Linked DNA regions of Xenopus tropicalis. The main gene of each other region encodes a partner of the protein of the gene in region 2 in a complex. Links are inferred from orthologs where the notes say so. Each region holds a gene or a part of one and is shown on either strand. Other genes may lie near its edges. The genes, in order: lsm4 and ppih.

Region 1 (4,281 bases), on a different chromosome or scaffold from region 2:
AGCTAAATGAAAAGATGACATCCCTAGTTGGAATGTGAATTTCTTTTTCCATAGATTATTAGCAACCCACATTAAATCTAATTGCTTGCCTGATACCCCAGGCTGGTCCTCCTGTTCCCTACAAAATTGCACTGGCTTAGGGTATTTCTAAAGAAGCTGCTCTTCACCATATTGTTTGACTTCTTTGTTCCAGTCCAGGCAGGCATATAAGCAGTAAAGTGAAAAACTGAGCTTTTTCGCCCTAACGCGCCCAAAGAAATGAAGGCAGAAGAGAAGATTGCACCAAAAGAGCTTCTTCAGAAATACCCTGGTCCAGTGCAGTTTTCAGCTAATAGGAGCACTTTCCCAGGGCATCAAGTAAGTGATTTTAATAAACAGGATTAATATTTTTCAAATATATGTCAAACCCAAAAATAATCTTTTTCCTAATAAAAGAAAACTTAATTCTAAGCAACTTTGCAATATACATTCATTACATATTTGTAATGGTTTTTGAGTTATTTGTATATATATACCAGCTATTAAAAGCAGTGTCTGCTTGTCCTTTTTATTCTCTACCCTGAGGGGTCTGGTGTTTGAAACAATGTAACAAACACCAGCAGATTTTACAGACCTGACTTGCTGGAGGAGCCTGGCACTTGCAACATTGTTTAAAATGTAACAACCAGGAGTTCAGCAAATGCTGCTTTCTATAGCATTACATTACATTTACAAATAACTTTTAAAGCACTAATAATCTTTAATAAATTGATATTGGAAAGTTGCTTAGAATTGTTTTCTTTTATTAGGCAAAACATTTTTGGGGGGTTGACATGTCCTTTAGCGCGCTGTGACTAGATATAATGAATAGCAGACTACCCTTCCACAACTACCAGAAACCACACTTCCCTTTGTTCGCTTAGTCATACTAATTTTAGAATACTATATAATCCCCTCTGCACCAAATAAATGTTTGTTTTTCTACGTCAGTTCCCTATAAGCAGAAACTACAGAACTCCTCTTTCCCTTAACCACGATGGCAGCGCCTTATGATCACATGGCCTGTTTATTCGACACCACCATTGGTGGATAGGACTAGCCCGATACTATTGGTACAGGAAGGTGTCACCAAAGGCTTCCTTTGCCCAACAGTCTCTGCGCTTGTTGTCTGAGCAACGGGCGGAAGTGACCGTGAGGGAGCGCGGTACAGAGCGAAACATGGCGAGTTACCTGGGTGGGACACGGGGTTTGACTACATTCGCCTGCGTTGTTCTTATAGCTAGAAATGGCGATATACTTGATTTGTGTGCTTACAATTTGGGCATGTTATAACCATTTAGTCTTACTAGTTTCTCTGTCACTCCTAGCCGGCATGTATGTTCCCGCCTGTCCTGTTAACTCATTGTTACACAGAATCGTCTCGGGTTTTTTTTAGTTCTATCAGGGTCCCGTTGCGGGCGAGCTCTGCAGCTTTATTTGTCTGGGTTAGGGAGAAGCTGGTGGAAGGACCTCTTGTGCAACATGTTTTCTTTAGATAATTGATTGGCTCATATAATCAGTGAAGGGGGATTTTTGGATACTGGTCTGAGAATTAAATATTTTACATATATTATAGGCAAACTATACCCCCTGACTGAGTACTTAACCAACAGATACATTATTTACTAAAAAGGAACCTATTAAAGAATGTTACCAAATTGGAATATATATTGGTTAATATTGGCCTTTTCCACATTGAGCCACCATTTAGTGATGGGCTGTGTGCTCCCTCAGAGATCACGTCAGGGAATAATGCAGCTCTAGTGTGTATTAAGATATTATTCATATCTTTTCACATTTAATTATAAGTTTTAGATTTCACTTTTTTGATTAACTTGTATAATTTGTGCTTAGTACAGGGCGGGCGGTTTTTCTTTGGGAGGCCCTGTAAGATGTATATTTGAAGCTTTGATATAGTATGTGCTTATTACAGGGCTTTAATGGTAACCCCGAAAAAGCTTTTGATATAGTAATGTATGATATATGCTTGTTACAGGGCCTTAATGGTAACCCTGAAAAATGTGCAAATTAAAAGTTTTGGGTATAAAAAGGGAAGTGACATGGGCATTCCTCTGATGAAGCACTTAGTGTGCGAAACGCGTTAGGAAGGAGAAAGGGTGCCAGGTAGCATGGGATGTACCTTCCATTTGGTATAGTATGTTTTATGTTATGTTTTTTGAATTTTGTATTTAAATTCTGAGCCAATAAATGGTTGTGTTTTTCACTGAATAATGTGTTTAATTATTGTATGGTATTTCAGGACCTTTCAGTGAGATACATCTTAGGTTTTCTTTCTCAATCTTACTAATTGTTATTTAATAATGCAGCTCTACCTGTAACAGGAAGAAATGTGGGAGTAAAAGTCAGAACTGTCCCCATTAATTGGCTCATGTACCCTAACATATATGTGTGTTTGTGTGCACTGTGAATCATTTCATAACAGGGGGTGGCCCTTAGTAATTAAAATGACTTTTTTTTTAACTTAGAATTATCCATGGTCACATACTGCTACAAAAGTATATTTTTATGAAAATTGTGTATTTTGATGAAGCAGTGCTTTAACTATGATCTGCTTTTTGTAAAATATTATTTTAGAGACCTGCATTGTTTGGGGGTATAGTTTTCCCTTGGCAATGTCCATCATGTGCTCTGAAAGTATGCATTTATAAAGAGTTAGTGACACAGCATATCATTTAGATTTTCTTTTTGAAAGGTCTTAGCAATCTTACTTTTTTAACTTACATCATGGGGCATTGTTCATTATTGGGTAAAAACAGATTACATTTTAAACATAATAAGTGAATGCAAAGTCCCAAATTAAAAAATTGTGCAAAAAGTCATGCATCTGTATTAAACTTGGTTAGAAAGTTCAGTAGTTAGTATAATAATAAGATAAGCACTACACTGGTTTTAATTTTGTTTCATATGCTTACTATTGAAGTGTGAAATTTTGGCATAAATTCTACTGTATGGTAATAGCTTTTATGTAATTAAGGTCAACAAGGATGCTTATTATTATTATTATTATAGTATTATTTATTATATATTATATTATTTAAAAGGACACATCATTATTGAAATAAAATAAGTTCTGCATCTTTAATAATGTGCCATCCAGCACACCACAGATAGCAAAATTGACAGTATAAATATGTTGCTTAAAACCTCTTATATTGCAAGTGTGTAATAAACAAGATAGGCAGAAATTGGAGTAGCATCATAAATAATTAAATGCTCCTTATTGGTGGGCTTGTTTCAAAGGGGAAGTTAACTGTTGCATTGGCATTAGGCATGTTATAGCTGGACCTGGCCAGGGGCTCTTCCTTTTTGGCTTTTTTCAGTCTGAAGATACAAATACTGTCAAGTTGTTGGGATCCTTGACCCTGGCAACTACAACAGATTTAATGTAAAGCTTTATTTTATTATTACAGGTCGTATTATTATTATTATTCCTTTCATCCCCCCCTTATTTTTACCTTGCAGTTTGATTTCAAAAAAGCTTTTTGATTCTTAGCATCCACATATGTTTTTGTTTCAAGCATTAGAATATCATTTTTTGCATAAAAAAAATTAAAAAAAGAAACAATCTGTGGCAAGGTGTAGCTTGTATTAGAATCCAGTTGTATATGCCTGAGTTAAAGTTAATCCTAAGGTCTCACTTTAATGACTTTAGTAAGTACAGAGTTTTGAAACCTATGTAAATGGGTTATTTTCTACAGGCCTCACACACTTGGGTCCAAAACACTGGTAAATTGACCTATTCTATCAAGATATATTGAAATTGCTCATTAGTTATGGCTCCGCTGGACTGCCTACACTCGTAGGCCCCTCTGCAACAGCAGGGTAAAAAAAAAGATGAAACAATGAAACAAATTGAAGGAGATATTGTCCTTGTGGAGGGCCCTAAAAAAAGCTCCACATTTGTTCTTTTGGCTTTCAGTCTGACAGCCTTGCTCTAAACAATCAGTGGGAATGAAGTGTTTTATTTTTCCTTATTTATTTAATGAGGCTGTTATTCAAATGGCAAAAAAATGGATATATATTGTCTAAAAAAGAAAATACAGAGAAAAGCAACGCAGTAGTGTACTCCAAAGGCAGGAGTTTTATTTTCTGCTGTGTCTGGATGGAGCCGGAAAGCCTCTTAATGCTGAACAGACAATAGATGGTTGCATTGACCATCTAAAACACAGTACTCTGGTAGCTGCCATTGTTTATTACTTTGGATATTCCAGAGTCTTAATTTTATCTGCGCTGTTACAAATG
Region 2 (3,826 bases):
GAAGTTGGAACATCGCTGCTACAGAACTAGTACTAGAAATTGTGCTATCTTTTGCACGTTATCAAGACAGGTTATTTCAATACTAAAGTATTTTAATTTTTAGTTACTTACATTGGACAAGTGAACCTTTTGGCTTTATTGTTGTTATTCAAGCAGTCAAAATACATTTTTACTTTGGTAAAAACAAGAAAACAAGCAGGCAATTAACAAGTTCTCTCTATATTAAAAGGGTGTGGCCCTGGTATTTCCAGACACACCCAGCAATAAAGCATTCCAAAGTTATGAGATAATGGCACTATACTATACTCTTTCAGTTAAATAACACTTATAACACTTTCAATTTCTCCCAACAAAAACAAATTACCTCAATTTTTCTCATCACAAGAAGTCCATCGATTACTTTACCTGTAAATAAAATAGTCATCTTGATTGTTGTGGATGAAGCAAAAATATTTTTCTATCTATATAAATACATCGGGCAGGTTTTAAAATCCCATAGTGGTGAGGAGTGCATTGGCTCATGCGGTCTTCACCCCAATGGCTTGCATCCTATAAATGTGATCACTTTAATATCGCCCATCTCAAGGTGGGAATATTGGGAACTTGCTTATCAATATGTCCCCAAGGGAGGCTATTTATCATAGTTTGACAACTTATATTTTATATGTAATACAGGGCATATTACTATAGCCTGTCATGGTGTGGCCATCAAATTATTACTAGCCCAGAAAAGGATGCTACTATGAAACCTATTCCTAAGAAGAGTTGGAATGCTGAATTCAAAGTTGAATTTATATTTCAGATAGAGTTAAAAGAATAGTAACACCAAAAAATGAAAGTGTATTAAAGTAATTGTAATATAATGTAGTGTTACCCTGCAGTGGTAAAAGCTGCTTGTTTGCTTTAGAAAAATTAATATAGTTTATATAAGCAAAGCTGTGATATAGCCCAGGGGGGTAGTTTTTAAACTGAAATAAGACCATGGCTTAAGCCACATGGGGCTGATTCTCGGCCTATGGACAAACACAGGCTGAGAATCAGCCTCTACACTCCAATCAGCTTTTGGATGTGCCTGCAACCGGAGCCACTGCGTCAGCCCCTGTGCCGGTACATGGAGTGAATTTCGGTGCCGAAATGTACTGTTTGTATCTGTTATCTGCTGTAACCTGTGCCTTTTCTCCTTTTTAGGGCCGTGGCAGACAGGGAGATTAGTCGCCCGCGACAAATCTCCCCGTCTGCCACGGCCCTTATCCAGCTTAAATAGTTGCCCCCATGGCTACCCAACAGCTTATAGTAGAATTTCTGAAGCCAACACAATCTTTAGGTTGATTGTGGGCCTGCAGAAAAACGCAAAGCCCCTAAGCTGGCATCAGCCTTCTTTGTCTGCACCTGGAACCATTAAACTGAATTGGCCTGGTGCAGGCACAAATGGTGGATATCAGCAAAAAAACTCAAGAGTTTCCATTTCAAAGCTGATATCCACCGGTTGCACAGACAAGAAGGTGGCTGATGCCAGCGTAGGGTCCGATTCTCGGGCTGTGGAAAAATGCCGAGAATTAAACCCATGTGGCATAAGCCCTACCAGTGCAGGGCAACAGAACATTATTATATTTTAATTACTTTAAAACACTTGATTTTTTGGTGTCACTGTTCCTTTAACAATCAAATGAAGACAGTGTTACTGTATTCTTGCTAAAGTGTTACTCCACTGTTTTCAATGGACAGCAGCCCTATGCAACTTATGTCCCCAATATCCCCAGGCTACACAAGTTGTCTGGCCTAGACTTTTCACTTGCACTGTGCCTGAATGTGCAGATTGCCAAAAGGAGTGAAACAATCTGGACATACAATTTCATTTAGTAATGAGCCCCAAAGAAGCATAATGCTGAAAGGTAAGTGTAATTCATGGAGCAAAAATGTATTACTGTACTGAGCATCCATAAAGATACCCTCGGCACTGACACAAACTAATAGGGCAGACTTTCTGCTACAACTTTACTTTGGAAAATAACCAGCCATTGTTTTTGCTGGCTGTATCCTAAACTGCAGAACACTGGAATATCTTACAACATATCTGATCAAAAAGTCACATGTAGGATTGTCTCCCAGATGAACAAGCCTGGCAGGAGCAGCCTGAAATAACGAGCTACTTGGCTGCGAGCCTTGGATGTGTCCTAATGCTAGTGAAATATATTCTGTTAAAAACTCACCAAATACCACATGTTTTCCATCCAACCAATCGCACTTTGAGCATGTGATAAAAAACTGGCAGCCATTCGTCCCTGGGCCACTGTTAGCCTGTGGAGTACAACACAGTGTGTTTTATATTTAGTTTCTTGTATAGTTTGCAAACAAGAGAAACTGTGGACTTGCCAGTGATCTTCTTTTAGCTGTTTAATACAAAAGCCACTCTGTGGGGGTGTAATAAAAAAAAAAAAAAAAAAAAAAACAGCTTGGAAATATAAAGGTCAAGTGAATTATATCAGTGGGAATGGCATGCATGCAACCCTAGCTATAAATCTGTAGCAGGAGTACTTGTGCTTTGTAAGAGGCAAAACACACAGGAAGAGGGCTCTATTGACAATAAAGTTTATCCATGTTTTCTTACTTCTCATATGAGATGGGTATTCCCCCAAGAATATAGGGTATTCCCCCAAGAATATAGGGTATTCCTAGGTCTCTTGCAGAGGAACTCCCTGTGCTAAAATGTATCAGGCTGAGAGACTATGTGACTGCTAGAACAGAATTCTTTGTTATAAGGTGACCAGAATGCCAGTCATAAAATTCCCGTTTTGCTGCTTTTATAAAAGAAGGAGAGACAGGCAAATGTTTAGCATTTTTTGTTTAAGAGACACTTACATTGATTTTTTCATTATTATTTTTTAGAAACATTAATATCTGTTAACAGATTTTGCAGAAAGCGTTGCCAAAAGATTCTTCAAAATGAATGCAGCCCTCTCCTAGTTAAACAACAATAACTTGGAAAAGAGTGCCTCCATAACACTTGGGGCCAATTAACAGGGCAATAGTAACTGGGGCAATTAAAACTGAACTGACACAGCACAGAAATAGCTAGCTGGGTCAGTAGATGGAGCATGCCACACTTTAGTGAGCTAAATGGGCTGGACATGCCTTACAGTAGCATTGATACACAGAAGCTAAACCATGTCTGAAGTGCTTGGCTTGAAAAGAGTTAAAGAGTAAAACCACCCAAAAATGTTTATTTGCACAACAGAAGGTAATGTAACTATAAAAAAAAGTCCAATAACAACATTGTTTAATAGTTTTAGTTATTTGCAATTGAAAGCAGTATTCGATTATCCTTTTCTGTACCCTAGTTCTCACTCTTAAAACAATGCTTCTCCAGGTCTATTAATATGAACAACAGTATAAACTAATCACACATTTGTCTTCTGTTTTTAAACAATGCAAGTCCATTGAAAGCTTATTTGTGATCGACTGCAAATTTTTTTTCTCACTGTAGACTATTTACTTATTAATCAGTGCTTCATATATTACATCATGTACAAGAAAACAGATTTGTAATACATACCATGGATAAAAGTCCAGGTGTAGAATGTTTTTGTTTAAAGTTCTCATCTGCAAATGGACCTCTATATATGCTTGCAACTCCAGTGCCATCCCCCTGGAAAACATGCTTTTGTAAATATAAAGTAGAAGCAAATTCACATAATGTCCTTTTGCAATCGCCAAAAGGATTCCTTTGAATGTGACGAGATGTTCAAAAGAAAGATGCACAAAGGAATTATGCTGAGGAGGTGCTGTATATAATGACTGAGCATACACTATGCAGACCTCGACTGTG

The links.
Region 1: ppih (region 2) and lsm4 share a complex: the UniProt entries of both Homo sapiens proteins name them as parts of the U4/U6-U5 tri-snRNP complex. The link is inferred for Xenopus tropicalis from reciprocal best matches to the Homo sapiens genes PPIH and LSM4.

What each region holds. Positions count from the first base shown.
Region 1 is NC_030677.2:103,365,071-103,369,351, forward strand, and holds the start of lsm4 (U6 snRNA-associated Sm-like protein LSm4), read left to right. Parts: upstream 1-1,171; 5' UTR 1,172-1,197; coding exon 1,198-1,200; exon of another isoform or gene 1,201-1,213; intron 1,214-4,281. UniProt on the Homo sapiens protein: Plays a role in pre-mRNA splicing as component of the U4/U6-U5 tri-snRNP complex that is involved in spliceosome assembly, and as component of the precatalytic spliceosome (spliceosome B complex).
Region 2 is NC_030683.2:94,748,119-94,751,944, forward strand, and holds part of ppih (peptidyl-prolyl cis-trans isomerase H), read right to left. Parts: intron 3,647-3,826; coding exon 3,554-3,646; intron 2,299-3,553; coding exon 2,211-2,298; intron 406-2,210; coding exon 365-405; intron 1-364. UniProt on the Homo sapiens protein: PPIase that catalyzes the cis-trans isomerization of proline imidic peptide bonds in oligopeptides and may therefore assist protein folding. Participates in pre-mRNA splicing.